3 linked regions of the Caenorhabditis elegans genome follow. The protein of the gene in region 1 interacts with the protein of each later gene in a pairwise test. Each region holds a gene or a part of one and is shown on either strand. Other genes may lie near its edges. The genes, in order: bicd-1, dnc-5 and ape-1.

The links.
Region 2: the proteins of bicd-1 (region 1) and dnc-5 interact in a two-hybrid assay, tested with the Caenorhabditis elegans proteins (one large-scale study listed by BioGRID).
Region 3: the proteins of bicd-1 (region 1) and ape-1 interact in a two-hybrid assay, tested with the Caenorhabditis elegans proteins (one large-scale study listed by BioGRID).

The regions. Positions count from the first base shown.
Region 1 is NC_003282.8:6,565,642-6,574,162, reverse strand, and holds the start of bicd-1 (Protein bicaudal D homolog), read left to right. Parts: upstream 1-1,826; 5' UTR 1,827-1,834; coding exon 1,835-2,035; intron 2,036-2,445; coding exon 2,446-2,922; intron 2,923-3,306; coding exon 3,307-3,444; intron 3,445-3,704; exon of another isoform or gene 3,705-3,725; intron 3,726-3,818; exon of another isoform or gene 3,819-3,839; intron 3,840-3,896; coding exon 3,897-4,089; intron 4,090-4,406; coding exon 4,407-4,594; exon of another isoform or gene 4,595-4,612; intron 4,613-4,678; coding exon 4,679-4,771; intron 4,772-4,824; coding exon 4,825-5,068; intron 5,069-5,237; exon of another isoform or gene 5,238-5,259; intron 5,260-5,759; coding exon 5,760-6,142; intron 6,143-6,245; exon of another isoform or gene 6,246-6,266; intron 6,267-6,649; exon of another isoform or gene 6,650-6,675; intron 6,676-6,924; coding exon 6,925-7,101; intron 7,102-7,341; exon of another isoform or gene 7,342-7,362; intron 7,363-7,814; coding exon 7,815-7,934; 3' UTR 7,935-8,521. UniProt on the Caenorhabditis elegans protein: Part of a complex with dlc-1 and egal-1, which is recruited to the nuclear envelope by unc-83, where in turn, it recruits dynein to the nuclear surface and regulates nuclear migration in hypodermal precursor cells.
Region 2 is NC_003279.8:2,879,747-2,885,282, forward strand, and holds dnc-5 (Dynactin subunit 5), read right to left. Parts: upstream 3,709-5,536; 5' UTR 3,695-3,708; coding exon 3,578-3,694; intron 2,616-3,577; coding exon 2,282-2,615; intron 1,279-2,281; coding exon 1,175-1,278; 3' UTR 1,130-1,174; downstream 1-1,129. Other genes in the region: Y71F9AL.8 (Myb_DNA-bind_3 domain-containing protein), read left to right, coding at 399-644, 1,023-1,109; arx-1 (Actin-related protein 3), read right to left, coding at 4,118-4,213.
Region 3 is NC_003283.11:11,674,160-11,679,564, reverse strand, and holds the start of ape-1 (Apoptotic enhancer 1 protein), read right to left. Parts: upstream 3,628-5,405; 5' UTR 3,604-3,627; coding exon 3,544-3,603; intron 3,310-3,543; coding exon 3,178-3,309; intron 1,571-3,177; exon of another isoform or gene 1,366-1,570; intron 1-1,365. UniProt on the Caenorhabditis elegans protein: Negetively regulates apoptosis via its interaction with cep-1.

The sequences.
Region 1 (8,521 bases):
GATTTATTTTGTTACTAGATCTCAATTTTTCAATGGCATTTTAGTACTGTAGAGTGCAAGAGAAATCTAGCCTTATTCGAGAAATAAGTTTTTTACTGTTTATATTTTTTGATAAGTTTTTCAAAAATTTTGTTCGTTTAATGTACATCTTTTTTTTTAGTTCCAAGCGAAACACAATATTATTTTTCATACTGTAATACATATATTCGATTATTAATCAAAAATATTTTTTGTGTTGTTTAAAAAATTGTTTTTAAATTACAAGAAAAATTGCATGTCTGCAAAACTTTGATCGACTTCTGCAAATTTTTTAATAAGCTTCTACGAGTTTTACCCAACTGTTCTCTTGCATACGTAATTTAAATTTTTTCTCGTTTGATTTTTTTTTGTTATAATGACTAAAATGTTGTAACAAACCAATAAAAAAGAACACATAATAAAAATACCCAAAACAGAATTGGTTGGAAAAATATGCAATAGTTTGAAACATTACCCGAATTCTGAAAGGTTTTTAAAGTGAAGTAGCAAAATTTTTCAATTGATTGAAACATTAGAAAAGAGCCAAAACTTTCAAAAAATCTATACTTAGCGCTAAGACTGTCATTTTTTGTCGCAGCGTCTGGAAATGAATTGTTATAAAAGCATGATCAGTTATCACACTATTTTGTAGTATATTTTAAATTTATTGGAATACAAATGTTTCAAAATTTGAATGCCAGTAGAGTGCTTTAAACAATTCCGGAATAAAGACTCAAACTAGAAAATTAAGATGATAAATTGAAAAGTTGAAAAAAAGCCCGTTTCTAGATTTAGACTTTAGGAGAATGCGATTTTTAAAAATAATTTTCATCCGGCATAACTAAAAAATTTTCAAAATTTTCAAGAAATCACATTATGAAATTCGGCCATTTATGCTCATTTATAAACAATTGTAGTTAATTTTTGTACAATTTCTGTCGCTGAGTGCAAAAATAAGTAACCAAAGTCTTCAGAGCATTAAGGTAGTTTCGCCCAAAAATTTAAATTCTAGGTTTAAGCTTAAAACGAGAGCTATTCTTTGACAGTTATTACTCGCATGGTTAATATCAGTTCCTTGAAAATCAATCAATAACCCCAAAACCATATCATTTTATGTGACTAAACTTTCCTTCCAAAAAAAAAAGAAAAAAATGATCTGACTCATCAATTTCCGGTGATTTCCCCCGTCTTCCGTGCTCCACCCAGAACGGTTTGCGGAGGCATTAGAACAGTAGTCTCGCCCCGCATTTGTGTCGATTTTGGCTGCCGAGTGAACAAAAAAAACGAAACAGCACTCAATATTTGTGTCAGGTCAGCCACTCTTTCTTCCATTCTCTTCTATTTGTTTTTTGTTCATTTCTATTCCCTATTTCTCTCTATTCTCTTTAGTCCATTCTTCATTTCATAATTCTACTGAAACTAGTGTTACCTCTATCTCTAAACTCTCCTCTCAACCTGTACTATTTCTCTCGCGGGAGCCGAAAACGAAAACCTTATGAATATACAATTAGTTTTTCGACACCCTCTCCTAGTCGACAAAACGCAAATTTCCAAAATTGAACCTGTCGCACTAATATCTTGGAAATTTTGAAATTTACTTATTCCTGGTTTTGTTTAATTTTTGTTTTTAAAAGAAAATGTGGTCATTTGAGAACATTTTATTTAAATTTAAATTTTTAAATTTTTTCCTGTTTCAAATTGTAATTATTTCAACAATTTTTTAAAGGAATACTCAGTGAAGTATTTTTCCCCCTTTTTAAGTTATTTTCATGTTTGATATTTCCAACTCTCTAACATTTAAATTTCAGCAGCCACAATGGCTGAATCAGAATTGGAGAAGCTTCGTCAGGATATTGCAATCCTTACAGAAAAATATGAACAAGCCAAAGAAGATATTCATAAGGCAGCAAATGCGGGTTTAGAATTGCTCCGTCAAAAGGAAGATCTAGAGAAACGATTAGCAGAGATGCAGGCAGAATTGGATTTGGCAAGAACTGAAATTGATAAAACTAATCAGGTAAGTATTCGATTTCGAAAATAAAAATCGGAAAAAATATTGAAAAAAAATTAATGTTTCAAGTAAATGGTAAATATTCGAAATTTTTCGTACTATTTCATTTATTTTTAAAATATAAGCATGCAACTATCAAAAAAATTTTATTCAGACTTACGCAGGTAGGTAACAAAAATATAGGAAAATTTTTCACTTTTTTCGTTTTGTTGCAGTCATTCTTACCATTTTTTTTAAATATTTCATAAAATTTTGAACTGTAAAAATATAGAAAAATGAACAATCAACATTTTTGTCAGCTTACAATTTTTGATGAAGATGTATGAGCTGCCAAAATTGAGCTTAACAAAAGACTAGTAAAGTGTTAACAAAATTATTATTGAAGCTCAAGTTGTTCAAGTTGCTCTTATTTTCAGACTCTTGCTGAATACCGTTCCCAACATCAACGGTCCACTCGAAGTGAACTCGAAAATGAAGAATCTCTACTCGAGGAAAGTTCAGCAAAAGAAGAGGAATATCTACAGAGAATTGCAAAATTAGAAGCAGATCTTAAGAAAAAAGAACAAGAATTGGCAGAAAAGAAAGAAGAATTGGAAAGTATTGAAAAGAAACATTCGAAAGAAATCGATTCTGGAGCTGCATTAGAAGATGAAAGAAGAAAACTTAGAGCTGAATTAAAAGAAACAAAAGAAAGAGAACAAAGATTAATTTCTGAATATTCAGAGTTAGAAGAAGAAAATATTGGATTACAGAAGACTGTTGCAAATTTAAGAGGAAGTCAAGTGGAATATGAATCATTAAGAATTGATAATAATCGATTGGAAGAGACTATTGAAATTATGAAAATGGCTGCAGAGGAAGATGAAATATTAAGAGTTATTGCTGACAAACAGGTGAGACACTTTGAAAAATTACAACTCTCTCAGAAACTTTAACAAGTTTTCCTAAAAATATGTGAATAATTTCAAACATTTCCCTATTTGTTTGGAATTGCAACTGCAAAAACATTATGAAATTTTCATGTCTATTCACTATTTATTTTTGATCACGATTTGAATCGTAATAAATACAATACAATACAATACAAAATTTATTAGGTGATTGAAACAGTAAAAAAAACGAAAACTAGACAACTTTTATTTTAATTTTATAACCTGTTATTATTATTTTATAGCTCCCGTTTTTCATTGAAATTTTTGAACGGGTCGCCTCAATGTATATTTTCAAAACCTCAATTTTTGTATGAAAAACTTTCCAACTTATCATAAATATTTCAGCTCGAAGAAGCTCTGCTCACAGCTCAACAAGAACGGGATCAGCGATTGGCAATGAAAAGAGAATTAGAACAGACAAGAAATGCAGAGCATATCAGTAGTTTAAATGATATGCTTTTTGGATTGGAAAGGCTTGGGGAGGTTTGTTTTTTTTGTTAAAAAATTAAAACAATTAACTTTTAATAAAAGTTTGTTTTCCTATTTTAAAAGTTCCTGTGAAATTTTGTTAAAACACTTATATACAAAATGTCTTTTGTATACGTGAATTTTAAAAATACATTTGATAACTGATAATTTGAAACTAAACTTAACAAGTTGGGAAGAAAAAATTGCTCTTAAAGAAAAATGAGCTTCACATGTTTCGTATTCAATTTATATTGGCCAAGAGGAGTGTTGTAGGCTTGTTCTTTCGGTATCGATTTTTCTATTATTTAGTCAAATGTTATTTTAATATTTCTGTGTTCAAAAGGCGCATGAAATGGCAGAAACACTTGAATTAATTGTTGAATGAAAGTGTGGCACATGCTTTTAACGGACCACACGCTCAACACCAAACATTTTTGTATAAATCTTATGAAACAGTAATTTTTTAGGACGGCGAACTGCCACCTCCACAACCTGGAGCAAGTGACCTCTTCAGTGAATTACAAGGATCAAGTGATGTAAAAGTTCGTGAACTGGAAGCTGCAAAGGAAGGACTTCAAGAAGAATTAAAGAGCAGAGAGAAGATTTTCATCGAATTTGTAACCGGATTAGCAGACACCCTCAATATTCATAGACCAACAAGTGAGTTTAAATAGAACATTTCAGTTTGATTTGGAGTGTGATAAACCATTGAAGACATGGTGAAAAGTTATAACATTCAATTTTCACCAAATTTTTCAATGTTTCACATTCATTTCATATTGGTCAACGGTAGTATTGGAGTCTAGCGTAGATGTATGTAGTTTTTCAGAGTTTTCAGGGTTTTGGGTGAATAAAAGCTTCGCAAATTTCCTTTAAAATGAATATTTTATCATATTTACAATTAGTTATATTCAAAATTATTCAATTTTTAAAAAATTAGTTCCCCCGTGCATTCCCTAACAAAGTTTTCTTTACAGATGAGCTCGACTACATGCATGCTCGTCAACAAAAAGACGTTGTACTAGAGAAAATCCAGAACATTGCTCGTGACACTGACCGTCATGATAAAGAAGGAGAAGAAAAACGATCGGGAATTTTGAAGGCTGATTTGAGGACACTTGTATTGGTTGCTGGAGAGAAAAGTGCTCAGTTGGCAGCTGCTCAAGTTAGTTTTTGAATTAAATCATAAAAGTTTCATATTGCGAACCAAATTAAGAACATTATGAAAATGTAAATGTTGAAAATTCAGGACGCAATGATTCAAGTCTCCGATCAACTTTATCAATTCTACCATCAAATGACACAGAACCAAGGAGTTCAAACAGAAAAGAGTGTACAAGAGGTAAATTTTATTTTAATATTTATAGAAAATGAACAGAACTTTGTATATTTCAGATTGTGAAAAAGTTGCGTCTATTGGCTCGTGCCAATGCAGAAGACGTTCCACGTGTCTCGTTGGCAGATGAAGGAGTTGAAAGTGGAACAGAGACAGATGTTAATGCATCAAGATCAATTCCATTGAATTCCGATCGTCTTGTTATTGCGCCAAGTTTTGCGAAGGAAATTGAGAAAAAGTTGGCAAGTGTCAAGATTGGCGATGTGTTGTCAGAGACTGATTTGAGGCAAAGAATACTTACTGGTTTGTTTAGTTTTTGAATCGCAAAAAAGAGCTGGATACAAAACTTTTCCAAAAATGTACAAGTTTTAGAGAAGATGCTACAATTAAAAAAAACAACGAGATTTTACGAAAGACAAATAAAATTACTGTTTCAACCAACTTTTATCATAAATTGGGTTTATATTAGCTATTTGAGTCGAGGTTTCAACACTACATTGAATTTACTGTACTTACTGTATACTTAGTATACTTAGAATACTTACTGGTTTGTTTTTGAATCGAAAAATTCAAAAAAAGAGCTTTGCCAAAAGACAATTCTTCTTCAAATACTTCATTTGGTTGAAAATATTTGGAATGTCTAGCAATATTTAAATCGATTAATAGAAGCAGGAAAAATTTATTTTTTATTCGAATTAAATTTTTCAAGAATAATTATTAGTTTTAGAGAAGTTGCTGAAATAAAAAAAATTTTGGAAGATAAATAAAATTACTGTTTCAACCAACTTTTTTTTTCCATAAATTGGAATTCTATGAGCAGTATGTTTTTCAATATTGCATTGAATTTACTACTTTGTATCAAACATTCATTTAAGGTTTGATGGCGTTAAATTTAAAGAGTGATTAAGACTCTTGATATTAAACGTTACAACTTTCAATTTGCCAATATACATCTCATTCTCACATTCGAATATATTAAATACATTATTTTCAGAAGGAAATGCCATTTCCGAAACCACAGAATCGTTGAAAAAGATGATTCAAGTGGTGAAAAGAACCTCTGAACAAGCATTCAATCAAGCAGTTATGGCAAGTGGAGCTGAAAATGAAATTGAAATGCAGAATATGAAATTGCGAAGTCTTTTATCAACAAAACGAGATCAGATTTCAACGCTTCGAACTGTTTTGAAATCGAATAAGCTGACTGCTGAAAGTGCATTGACTTCAATGAGAGAAAAATATGAATCAGAAAAGAAAATGATGATGGAAATTAATGATAAAATGAGAAGAGAATTGAAACAATTGAAGGAAGATGCTGCCACGTTTGCATCTCATAGGGCAATGTTCACTGCAAGAGGAGAGGAACTCAAGTCAAAGGTATTTAGTTTTGTTTTGAAACAGTTAGGAATTTCTAATTTCGGGAAAAGTATAGCTTTTATAATATGACATACGGTAGCTCTGTTTAATTACTAATTCAAACATTTCCATTCCAGATTCCCTATTACAAAATAGATATACTTAAATTGTATCTGTAGTAGTTGAAACAGAAACTATTTTTAATATTTAAACTTTTTAGGGTTATTAACTTTTACTTTGAATTATTTTTCTCGTTGGAAAAAAAATCGTTTTCTCAAAATTTACAAATTTTTATTTGGAGTCAAGTTTCTGACCTGGCAGCTTAATGAAAATTTCTCAAGTTAGTTGCTTTCTCAACAGCTAAACGTTAACAGATATTGACTATAGTTTGACAGAAGTTGTCAAGTTTTTAAAGAAAGTTTCCCCCAAATGCCGAGTTGATAGATGCGATCATCTTCTAATTAAAACTTTCCGTAAATGAAATTACTGTTTCACAAAGGATTTATTTTGAATTGAACTTCATTTTAAGTTGATAGTCATAGGGGTATATCTAACCATTTTCTCACTTCTATTGTATCTGTAGCAGTTGAAACATACTTTTTTTTTAATTTTCATCTTCGTACAGTTTGTTTACTTTGAATTATTTTTAACATTTAAAACTCGATTTGTTTTTTACTTGAATTTAGTGTCTGAACTCTGAATTTGAAAAAAACATATGGTCAAAACGCAATATTTTATCACTTTAATCGTATCTGGAGTAGTATCTTCTGTAAATTTTAAAATCAAATTTAACAATTTTCCAGGTGGAAGAACTATCAAACGAGTTGCGTGCAAATGAAGAGGAAAAGAAGACATTAAATCAACTTCTTCGTTTAGCAATTCAACAGAAGCTCACATTGACTCAACGTTTAGAAGAGGTTGAAGTTGATCGGGATAGGCAGGTATTTAAGAGGAGTAGTACAAGAGCTCCAACTAGAGAGGTGAGATATTAAAGGTGTAGTATCGTCCAATGTGACGTCTTTAATGGAATCACTGATTAAAAACCATAAAAATTAAAACAGTCTTTTTTTTAAAAATTTTTTTAAAAATAACTTTTTTAAAGTTCTTTATGACCCATTTTCTCTAATTTGAAGAAAAATCTCAACAGACGATACTCCGCCTTTAATTATGTTCACTGTTTCAAAACATTCACAAAAAAATGTTGAAATTTCAAAAAGCAATGATTTTTTGATATACAGAACACATTGGAAGGCGGATTGTTTCTTTTGGGGAATTTTTTCGAAATTTATTTGATATGCCAAGAATAACAAAGAAAAAACGAAAAAAATTGGAAAATTTAGTTTAAAACGATAAAAAAAACCTTTTAACAAAGACACAAATCTTTCGCCAAACGTACAAAACTGCCTTTTTAATATGACAATCCAATCTTTTTAAATCTTCAATTGATTGGTATGGAAATGCAGAAAAAACTTTAATTTTGGTGAAAAGCTTGAAAAAATCTTGAAATAGTGCTCGAAAGTTGAAGTTTTGCCAAAAAACTTTACGCACTTTTAGCTACAAACGGCAATTTTCAAGCACTATGTTATGATTTTCTGGAAAAGTTTTCGACAAAATTAAACTTTTTCTTACTTTGAAAAATCCAAAAAAATTGTTTTTTTCTTCTAGAAGTTAATTTAATCTTCTCCGTTTTCAGACCTACCAGCCACCGAGAGCAGTTCGTTATCCGGGTTCAACAACAACAGCTCAACAGCCAGCACCTTCATCTTCGGGGGGCTCGAGGGGAGGGCCACGCAGGGGAGACAATCAGCAATAAGCTGGTGGTCAGGTGATGACGTGACAACGATGAGAAGACGACGAACACCTACACCAGAGGATCCAAATGATCAAGAATCAATTAATACACAAAACCACGTCATCACCACGTGGCCCTACGACCTGAAAAATGAAGAAGATCCCCAATTATTGATTGATTTAATGATGGAAGAGATGAGAGTTGAATCTGAAATTGAAAGAATGCGATTAGCACTTAAAGAACAAGAATCGATATTCGCTGATTGTCAATTTGTTATTGCTCTTTTCTCACTTCCACCAATTTTGATTTATCTGGCTGTTTCTGTTTTACTCTTCCCGCCAATGCTATAGAAATCAGCAACATTTTGAATTTCCATATTTTCTACTTTTTTTCAAATGTTTGTTAAGTCAGATTTGGCAGCCGACATTTCACGGGTTACCTCATAGAATTTCATATCCCGCGGGATGTCGGCTGCTTTTATCTTTTCTTCCAGAATCACTCGTTTCGGTGTTTTTTTGACATAATGCCTTGAAAGTCTGTTTAATTTGCAAAAATCTGTGATAATTACTTTTATTCTAATTTTTAAAGTTATCATTCAATTTTGTTTC
Region 2 (5,536 bases), on another chromosome or scaffold:
TTTAATCGAAAAGCTATGAAAACTCCTCAGAAAAGAGTAGTTTGAAAATACAGTACTCTTTAAAGGCGCAAACCCTTTTGTGTTCGACAAAAATTTTCGTGTCGAGACCGGCTACCGTATTTTTGGTGCGAAATTTCGCGTCTGGATAATAAGAGAAACACTAATTTTCTTTGATTTTGTGAAAATTAGAAAAGAAAAACATTTTTTTCCGGTTTTTGGCTTTAAGCAAACACTTAAAACGGAACTTCTCGTTTTTTTTTTGGAAAAAAAAATTAAAAATCGGAGAGGAACTTCAAACCAATCAGCGCCTGGCTCCGCCCACCTTCGCTGATTGGTTTGGAATTTTTGGCCCTAAAAATGACACAATTTCGTATAAAATACAGTTTCTTTTTTTTCAGAAAATGTTCGCTGAACTCGAGAACCAACAAAATCTAGACCACCTGTACGGAAAAATGTTCGACGATCCAAATAAAGCCGATTGGATAATGATTGATGTCAAAAAGTTCACTGAAAACCACCTTCGCATGCAATATTTCCGTAAAATACGCGAAGAGCTACACAAAAGATTCACCAATCAGCATATCATTCGTGCCGTTTTTTGCTTTTTCCAATTTTTTGAGTATTATGTGACAGTTTGTGTTGATGTGAGTTTATTCCGAGAAATTGAAAACTTCTCGATTTACCTGAATTTTTTACTTGAATCGCCGCGCTTTTGTCTCTAAACTCCGCCCATAAAACCGTGCCGCACTGTTTTTTTTTCTAATTTTCAATTAAGAATACGGTCAGCAATGTTAAACAATTATTGAAAATTAGAAAAAAAAAACAGGAATCTGTGTCGAAATTGAAAAAACCAGAGTGCGGCACGGTTTTTATAGGCGGAACTTAGAGACAAAAGCGCGAGAATTCAAATTAGGCGTAAAAAATCCGAATTTTTTCGTTTTTTTTTCTTTTTTGGCATTTGGGACTAGTTTTTGAGTATTTTAAATTAAAATCCTTTCAAAAAATTAAAATTAAATTTCCAGGAGTCCACCGACAACTACATTCTGCTAATGAACAAAGTTTTGGAAATGTCCATCAAATTGTTGCCACTTTATATTGTTCATTGTTGATCATGCTCGCCCCTCCAATGTTAAGAATTATTTATTGAAATCATCCCGTTTTATTTACAATAAAATTATGCGATAGCTCGTTGTTTCGGTACGAAATTATCATAGTACATCGTTATGGCCTCCATCATCAGGTTCTCGGTGCAACGGGGTTCAGTGCCGACCACTTGAGCTGAAAAAGAGTTGATTTTGTTTTGGAAAAATTCCGGCAATTTTTGGAAAATTGCCGAATTCGCCGGAAATTTCATTTTCTTTTCGCGGCTCAAAAATTTCTTGGAGAATGGAAGAACTGCCGGTGTAGTCCTCGAGGAGGTTTTTTTTTTCAAAATTTTAAAAATCAGTTTTCAGCAAAAATGATCGATTTTGGAAAAAAAATTTTTTTTTTGAAAATCGAGAAATTTAAAGAACATTTATTTCCAAAAAAAATTAAGAAACTACCGGAGATTATTGAAAATTTTAATTTTTTCTAAAAATTAAAAAAAAAACTTTAAATTTTCGATTAGTACGATTTTTCGGAAATTTTTTTCAAATTTTTGAGAAATTCTTTCTGATAAATCTGCATTTTTTTCTGAAAGTTTTATTTTCTAGAAAATCCAAAAAAAAATTTCAGATTTTTTGGTAAAAAATTCAAATTTTCGATAATATCCGGCCATTTTTTTTCAAAGAAATGTGTTTTTTTAAAATAAAAATTGAATCTTCATTAAATTTTTTCTAATTTTCCTTTTTTAAACTGAAAAGCCTAAAATGGTCCAAAAATGAAAAAAATCGAGTCAAAAACTGAAAATTTACTGTAGAATAAAATTAAAACTTCTCCTCGGGGAGTACACAGCGATTCTACCATTTTTTGAAAATTAGGGAGCTCAGAAAAATAAGAAAAATAAGAAAAATCGATAATTTTCGATTTTTCGCCAAAATTCCAATTTTTCAATAATTTCAGTTTTTTTAAAAATGTTTTTTGAAAGAAATTTCTCAATTTTTCCAGTTTTTTCGATTTTTCCTACTTAAAAAGTTCGAAAAATTAGGAATTTTCGATTTTCCGTCAAAATTCCAATTTTTCAATCATCACAGGCAATTTTTGTGCTTTTAAAAACGTTTTTTTTCCAGTTTTTCGATTTTCCGGCTCTCAAAAAAATTAGGAAAATTTCAAATTTTCGCTTTTTCGACGGCATACTGACCAGGATTCCCGCCGATCGTTGAGTACGGTGGAAAAAGTGCGTCCGCTGGAACTACAGTATCCGGAAGAACCCTCGAACATTCTCGAATCACACAACCATTTCCGAGCACCGCACGAGCTCCAAGATGTACAAATGCGTAGATTTGAGCGGCATTGACGACACATTCTTCTTCAATAAATACATAATCACCAATCATAACGTTGCACATTGTTGGTTTTTTGCTGAATATTTTCATGCATGGACGGATGTTACATCGAGACTTTAGAACACAATATTTTCCAATTTTAACTGTCGCCAGATCACCGCGAATTGTCACTCCTTCCTCGATTATTGTCTGCAAAATTTCACTTTTTTTGATGTTTCAAATCAGGGGTGGGCGGCTATTTATTTTTGGCAGATTGCCGGTGTACCAAAATTGCCGGTTTGCCGAATTTGCCGGAAATTTTAGATTTTGGCAACTTGACAGTTTACCGAATTTGCCAAAAATTAGAATTTTTGGGAAATTGCCGGTTTGCCGGAAATTTTAAATTTTTACAAATTGCCGGTTTGTCGTTTGCCGAAAATTTCAATTTTTGACAAATTGCTTATTTGCCGGAAAATTTCAATTTTTCGAAAATTGCCGGTTTGCCGAATACTTTCATTTTTGGAAAATTGCCGATTTGCCGAAAATTGTAATTTTTGTCAAATTGCCTATTTGCCGGAATTTTTAAATTCCGGCAAATTGCCGGTTTGTCAAGTTTGCCGGAAATTTTCATTTTCGGAAAATTGCCGGTCTGTCGGAAATTTTAATTTTTGGAAAATTGCCGGAAATTTTTTTTTCTCGCAAATTTACGGAAATTTTAATTTTTGGCAAATTGCCAGTGTGCCGGAAGTTTGAATATTTGGCATATTTGCCGGTTTGCCGAATATTCCTAAAATGCTCAATTCCGGCCCACTTGCCGATTTGCCGGAAATTTTCATTTTCGGAAAATTACTGATTTGCCGGAATTTTCATCTTCAGCCGGTTTACCGAATTTTCAAGAAATTTTAATTTTCGCCAAACTGTTGGTAATTTTAAGTTTTGGTAAATTGCCAATTTGCCGATTTGCCGAAAATTTAAATTTTTTCCAAATTGCCGGTTTGGCAAATATGCCAGAAATTTTAAATTCCGGCAAATTGCCGAATTTGCCAAAAAATTTGTATAGCTTATTCCAAAAATCTAGAAAAATTATATTGCGCTATTTTTTTAATTTCTTTTTTTTTTCAAAATACTTGGAAAACACTGAATTTTTTCTAAAAATTTCCAAAAATTCTCACTTTTCCAGCAATTAAAATATTCTGTGTTCCAGCAATTGCATGCTTCTTATTCACTTTATTTCCCGTATGCGTCTTCGCCCATTCCGTCTCATCGTAGTAGACAATTGGAAGATCCATCTGAAAATCAGCGTCTGAAATTTTTCTAGTTTTTTTTTAAATTCAAAAATATCACAAAAGAGTTCTACTTTTTCAAATCGAGCGGAATTTTTCTCCAAAAAGACTACAAAAATAAGGGAATTTATATATAACGGGGGAATAAATTAAAGCAATAGTCATGCAAAAAAACACAATTTAAGAAAAAAAATTGGGGGCGCAGGAATCAAATTTCTTCGAGAATTTTTTCGTTCAAAAGGTTTTAAAAAATTGGTAATTTTTGGAAATAAAAATAATAAGTACATACACGAATCGCCCAGAATAAGATGAAAAAAAGTGAAATGTGTGTTCAAAAATTTCGGGAATTAGAGAGAAAAAAACGTGGAGAAGGGATTAAAATTGGAGAAAATATATAGGGAAAAAATACAAAAAAATGGAGAAAAAAAATTAAGTAAGAGCTCCGAAAACTGGATTGTAACGACAAATCGATGGTCCTCTCTCCATGTATTCGGCCTTTGTGTGTGAAACTTGGTAGAATTCCGACTGAAAATTTGGAATTGATAGTTTTTTTGGTGATTTTTTCACTAAATTTTGGGGGAATTTAATTGATTCTAAATTAAAATTTAAAAAAGTTTCCAAAAAAAATTTCATTTTTCAATTTTTTCCGACTGAAATCTTGGCTATTTTTGTGTTTCAAAAAGTTTCGAAAAATTGCCAAAAAAAAATTAAAAATATAATTTCCGAATAAAATTTTTTTTCAATTTTTTCTCAAAAACTTAAAATTGACTTTTTTGGGAATTTCAAAAAAAAAAATCAAATATTAGATTTTTTTTTGGAAAAAATCGGAAACATTTGTTTTTTTTCGAATTCTACCGATTTTTTTAAAATTTAATTTAAATTCGAAATCTACAGTTTTTTTTCACTAAATTTCGGGAGAATTTAATTTATTCTGAATAAAAATTTTTTAAAAAGTTTCCAAAAAAAAAAACAATTTTCAATTTTTTGAGTTTCAAAAAGTTTTGCAAATTTGAAGAAAAACAAATTAAAAATATAATTTCCGGATAAAACTTAAAATTGACTTTTTTTTGGGAATTTCAAAGAAAAAAAAATCAAAAATTAGATTTTTTTTTTGGAAAAATTAGTTGGCTAGTAAAAATCGATTTTTTTTTGAATTTTCAAAACTTGTTCAGAAATAGTGCTTTATTTATTTCAAAAACCATAGTTTTTCAGTGAAATTTTTTTATTTCTTAAATTCGAAATCTAATTTTTTTTTTTTTGATTTTTTTCACTTTCAAATTTCGGGGGAATTTATGACTTTATTCTGAATAAAAATTCAAAAATTTCCAAAAAAAAAATAAAATTTTCAATTTTTTTCCGACTGAAAATTTGGATATTTTTGAGTTTTAAAAAGTTTTGAAAAATTGCCAAAAAATTAAAAATATAAATTTTTAAAAATTTGTTGAGGTAACTGGAATACAAATTTCAGAAATTTCATTCGAAGCTCTGAATAAAACTTTTTTTTTTAATTTTTCGAATAAAAATCCGAATTTTTGAAATTTTTCTCAAAAAAAATCAATTATTTTTGGGAATTTTACAGAAAAAATCGAAAATTAAATTTTTTTTGTTGGAAAAATTAGTTGGTTAGTAAAAAATAATAAAATCGATTTTTTTAAAAAATTTACGAAATTCAAAAAATATAGTTTTTTTTAGTGAAAAAGTTTAATTTTCATTCAAATTTTCGAATAAATTATTTTCAACGAAAGAATTGATATTTTTTGCAAAAAAAGTACCAAAATTTCGGTCAAAAATGCATTTTCTCGGAAAAAATAGCAATTTTTTGAGATTTTCAAAATTTATGCTCATTTT
Region 3 (5,405 bases), on another chromosome or scaffold:
TTGACAGGTGCAGAAATTAATATCCCTGAATCAGAAAGAGCCCGTGAGATAATTATTGGATTTAGAGAGTCTATCAGTTATTGGTAACTGTACACTAGGTAATGTTTCAGAGTAAAAATGAGGCAAAAAGAGAAATAGAATGAAATTTGAATTAGTCTATGAAACATGAACCTATTTAAATTATCAATTTGATAATTTCAAACAAAGATTAATATTTCAAATATATTCTCCTTTTCGACAAGAAGCTTCTTTGATAGGATAAAAAGCTCAGCAGGAGGCCCTACGATGGGAAGGAACGTGTATTTTGGAACAAAGTGTGGATCGTTGTCGTTGTCTTCGTGCTGGTGGTGTTCTGTTCAATTGAAAATCCCGAAAGTGAAACATGTCGTAAATGTTGTGTCTATGCGCCCTCATGATGATCTGACGAACTTCTCGCACAAAATTAATAATGAAGTAGAAGAAAGAGTGAATTAAAAATTAATTCAAAACAAACGAAAGACGCTTTTGAACAAACTATTGAGGAATTTAGCAAACATAAAATAATAGAAGAAAATCTGTTTTGATTTTAATTTCTACGACAGTCACCGACAATTCGCATTAAATCGCATACCAAACTGAGGCGATTCGGACAACGATTGTGTTGATGGTTGTTGGTGTATTGAAAAGCATGAAACTAAGCTGAATGTATTTAACGGAATAGAAAAAGGATTCAACTGGTCGACGAAAAGTTACAGAATGAAAAAGTAAATGTCAAAACTTCAACACTTCAAACCTATGCAAGAGATGACTTTTATATTACTTAAATCGGTTTCCCTTTCAATTGGATCAGATGTGGTAATAAGAAAAAAGTCGTGTTGGCGAACGGAAGATAAAAAAAAACAAGTGTTTTCAAAATGATGATATCACATGTCACATTTTAGCTTTAGAACTCTTTCGGGCCACCGGAAGAGAAATGAACATTAAACACCGGAAGAGAGTAAAGAAAAATTTCGGCGAACCAAACATGTATCCCATTTTGACCGATCAAAAAAAAATGTTTTACTTAAATGAAGCGATTCTCAAAATTTCTAATCAGTTTTTTTTCAAGAATATTTTAAAGAGTATGGCATTATTTGTAGTGGCTGCCACCATAGAATAGTATCTTCTGTCATAAAATACTACAACAACAATCATTGAACAGTCACCGACAGCCTCGCGAAGATGAAAAAATACTTTACAATTGTAGAATAATAACGCTTAACACGTAATACATATCATTATGCATAATGACTTGACGACAGTCTCGATTACACTACAAGAAAAAAAATAACATCTATAACTTTATGCGACTCTACGACGACAACATAGAAAGATGATGGAATTGAAAGAGAAGAAGCCGAGAGAAGCGTACGCTCACACACGCGTTCACTCACACAATTGCGCAATTAATTTAGTTGTAATACGCGTTGCCGACGTGCGCAAGACTATGCAACGATGAGAAGGAAGTGAGTGAAAAGTGAAAAAAAAAAACAAAATTTATAATCGAAAATTAATCGACTGACCAGTTTTTTTTTGGCGATCTTTCCTTCACAGCCACAGATTTTTTTTGATAAAATAATTAAACAAAAATAAAACAGTTGTTGTCTATTATCAACAAAAAATATTCGTGTACGCTAGAGGAGGAACTTTTTTTTACTTTTTAATATTCACGAAGAGCTTTTGGCCAGTGGGTCAAGAAAATAAAAATAGAAGAGAATTAAAATGAAGAAATAAGTCGGAGAATCCAATATAGGGGAAAGCTTGAATGATAAATCGAGGTTAATCGGCAAGGCGCGTACGGCGTACGCACACGAATACTTCGTCTATCTTTCTGTGTCTCTCTTCAAAGGTCAGACTTTCTGTTACGAGAGAAGAAGAAAATGAAGATGATGAGAAAATTGTTTCAATTTCGTGGAGGGCAAAAGTAAGAAGGGGAGAACGCCAATTGGCATCTTCTTTCAATTGACCGATCCACGAAGAGCACTCACTACTATCAATGATATGTGGTGATTAGGTACCGAAAGATAAAAAAGAGAAATTTTTAAACTAAAAGTGGTCGTGAACCTATGGAAAGACTATTTATCATCAGGAATTTGAATTTTTATATTGACTAAACTATTTTATGAAAATGTTTTTGATAATCTTAAAGGAGGATTTCGAAAAATGGGGATACATTTTTAGAAAACTCTGAAAATTCCAATTTACTGAAATACCACGAAAGAAAAAAGAAAAAATTACTAAAGATCAAAAATTCCAACTTTGAAAAGTGTGAATTTACATATCTCGAAGCCACACCCAGTTTCGAACCAATCAGCGTCTTCGTCTGATTGGTAAAAAAGTGGGCGGAGCGAAATGCTGATTGATCGCAGTTTTATTTTTGGAGGAAATTAAAATAGGGAAAAAATTGAAAAAGAGCGTTTTTGAAAATTGGAATTTTTGATCTTTCTTAATTTTTTCTATTTTTCTTTTGGGAAATTTCAGTTTGTAGGCATATTCCGAGTATTCTGGAACTGAATCAAAAATTTACTGATTTTATTTCCATCAAAAATTTACTTGATTGGTATAAATTTTTCCGAATCAATCTCGATCAACTAAAAAAAGCAAGTCATTTTGATCCATCTGAAGGTATCACGCGAGACTAATAATCTCTGATGCATTCCTATCCGTTTCTGATCTTCGACAATCTTAACCAATTCAAACCAGGACCTATCTTAAAATATAATATTTTTATCATTATTTTATGGCGATTGTGATGCGTTGATGTCTGCCTACCTGACTTATGGCCCGGCAGAAAAAAAAAAACAAAACGTGACACTTCAAATCAAAATTAGATGACTTTTTTCTACGCTAAGATACGCTATTGAGGTGTTCTCTCCTTTTCTGACTATCTTTTTTTGGGAAGGTGATGATACAATTGCGTGAGATGCAAAAATTCAAAGAATTCCGTTACTCTCCCCGCAAAAAAACTACAAATTATCAGAACCTAGCCATCATCCATCAAACGGATTGTTGAGATGAAGGGAGAAACCAATTGAATTATATGAAGAATTTCCGTTATCGAGTTTTCTTTTTCAATTTTTTCTAATAAAATCTTAATAGCATTTCCGTTTCTTGAAAATTTTGTTCCGCATTTTTTCATTTCAAACAAAAAAAACTAACTCGTTGATTTGCGGAGATGAACGGAGCCGTCGAAGATTTATGAGCCATCGTAGATGCCATTGATGACGTCGGACGGTATATTGGGGCAGTTGAAACAGTTCGTACAGAATCCGACGAGTGAATCAGAGACACCTGGAATATGAAAAATGGATAATCGTCAAACATCTGCTAATCTAACAGTAGACCTTAAATATTTTTTGAAAAATTTTTATCGACACTGAAATTTTTATTTTTAGATTTTTTTTTAAACAAATTATGATTTCGTCACAGTTCACGTACTTCATGAATCACGTGAATATAAGATTTACAAAAATAGATCAATCCCTTTTTGTAACAATTTGAAAAATAATTAATCTCGATTCTCACCTGTGTGACACCGTTGTTTGCCGGGTACCCTATACCCCCTCCGCTACTGGTCGTGACCATCTCGTTGAGAACTGAGATCTGAAAATGGAGGGAAGATTAGTATAATTTTGTTTGAAAGGATTGAGAGAAAATGACAAAGAGCAAACGTGAATCGTAATACTGAACTTTTCTTTAAAAAATCCAAAATTGTCTAAAATTCAGAAATGCCACAGAAGAAGAACGAATAAAATCGAAGAACAACGAAAAATTGAATTTTTAAATTTTGGCTAAATTCCATGCTTGAATTTCCAAAATGAGAATTTCGACCGTTTTTTTTCGTGAAATTTATGACAATTTTCAATTTTTCAAAATAAAAACAAACTTCTTTTAATTTTTCACATTAACACGGTGGTTTGAAGATATTATAGAACAAAAATAATATTTCACCGCCATTAAAAATGATCAAAGAGGAATTGAACCATTGAAACAGAAAAATCAGGAGAGAGTCCAAAAACATAACAATGAAAATTATCAAGTAGCCGTGTTATTATAGTTTTCTGTATCTAATTACGAATTATTATCATTTCGTAATAATACCGTTTAATCAGTGATAAGGTGTTAATAACTTACATATGAAATTTTGCTGAAACTTCAAACTTGCTGATAAAACGCCTCACATGCTAAAAACGTAAAAAAGAACGAGCCGTAACAAAAATAACGAAGAGAAGGAGGACCTGCGATTGAATGATCAGAGGAGCGCGCGCGCAAGGGAGCGTATGCATGTGTTGGTTCGAAAGATGACGACGAGCCAAAGTAAACACGGCCTCTTAGATATTGGGGTCGTCCCTCTGTGCCTCTCTCTATTCGCTTCGTTTATTATCAACAAACTTTTCTTATTTCTCACAGTCTCGTACCACATATCTTCAAAAAGAGACTTGGCACAATGCCAAAACGGCTTTCGGTGTAGAATGAGAGATACACAGACATTGAAAAAGAGATCGGGGACATCAACCTTGAAATGGATCACCGGTTGATTAACGACCAAAAATAGGAGAAGAACACCGGTAAATGTGGGTTGCTAGTTATGGTCCGTAAAAAGTGAAGTTGCGAAAAATTATTTTTCTGATGATCAAATCGTTGACAATTGAGCGAAAATGGGGGCAGAAGTAGAAGAGTGCATGATGAATAGAGGAAGGAAGAGGTCCACTTGAAATAATTCCGAAAGTGGCCTATTCAGTCGAGAATTGGCTGCTTCGGAAGCAGAACAAGCACAAAAGAGTGGAAGGAAGAGGAGAAAACTCAATTTCGACAAATTCTTTCTCTTGTCACTAACGAAACTCGAATGGTCATCAGGAAACGAAAAGGAAAAAGTAAAAATGTTCCGGTTCTTTTAATTCAGGATTTTATTTTGAGTTTTTAAAATAGGTTCGCGGTAGAGAAAATTTTTTTTAATTGCATCGATTATATAAAATTACAAATCAAGTTTGTCCAAATGAAAAGAACATCATTGTTTTGTTCGCTACAAGGAGAAAACTAGAAGCGAATTGGAGCTTTTGCTCCCGCACATTTCAATTGTTTGAAGTGGGAACAAGAAGAGTGCACTTTCTATTGGAAATGTGCTCAATGATTGTTTTTCTTTGTCAATAACTTAAAAGTAAATTGAAAGCCGTTTAAATATTTTAAGTAAAAATTAAAATTCAGAGTTCCTTATCCAAAATAAACAAAAAAAAGGTAGAAAGAAGGAAGCTGGCTGAACCAATTTCTCATACGGACCGTTCGACCGTTCGGGCGTGTCAACGATGTGAGTACAGGAATGGAGGGACGGAAAAGGTGAGCACGGGAGTGCATTAGAGAGAAGATACGCAGAATGAAAAGGCACATGA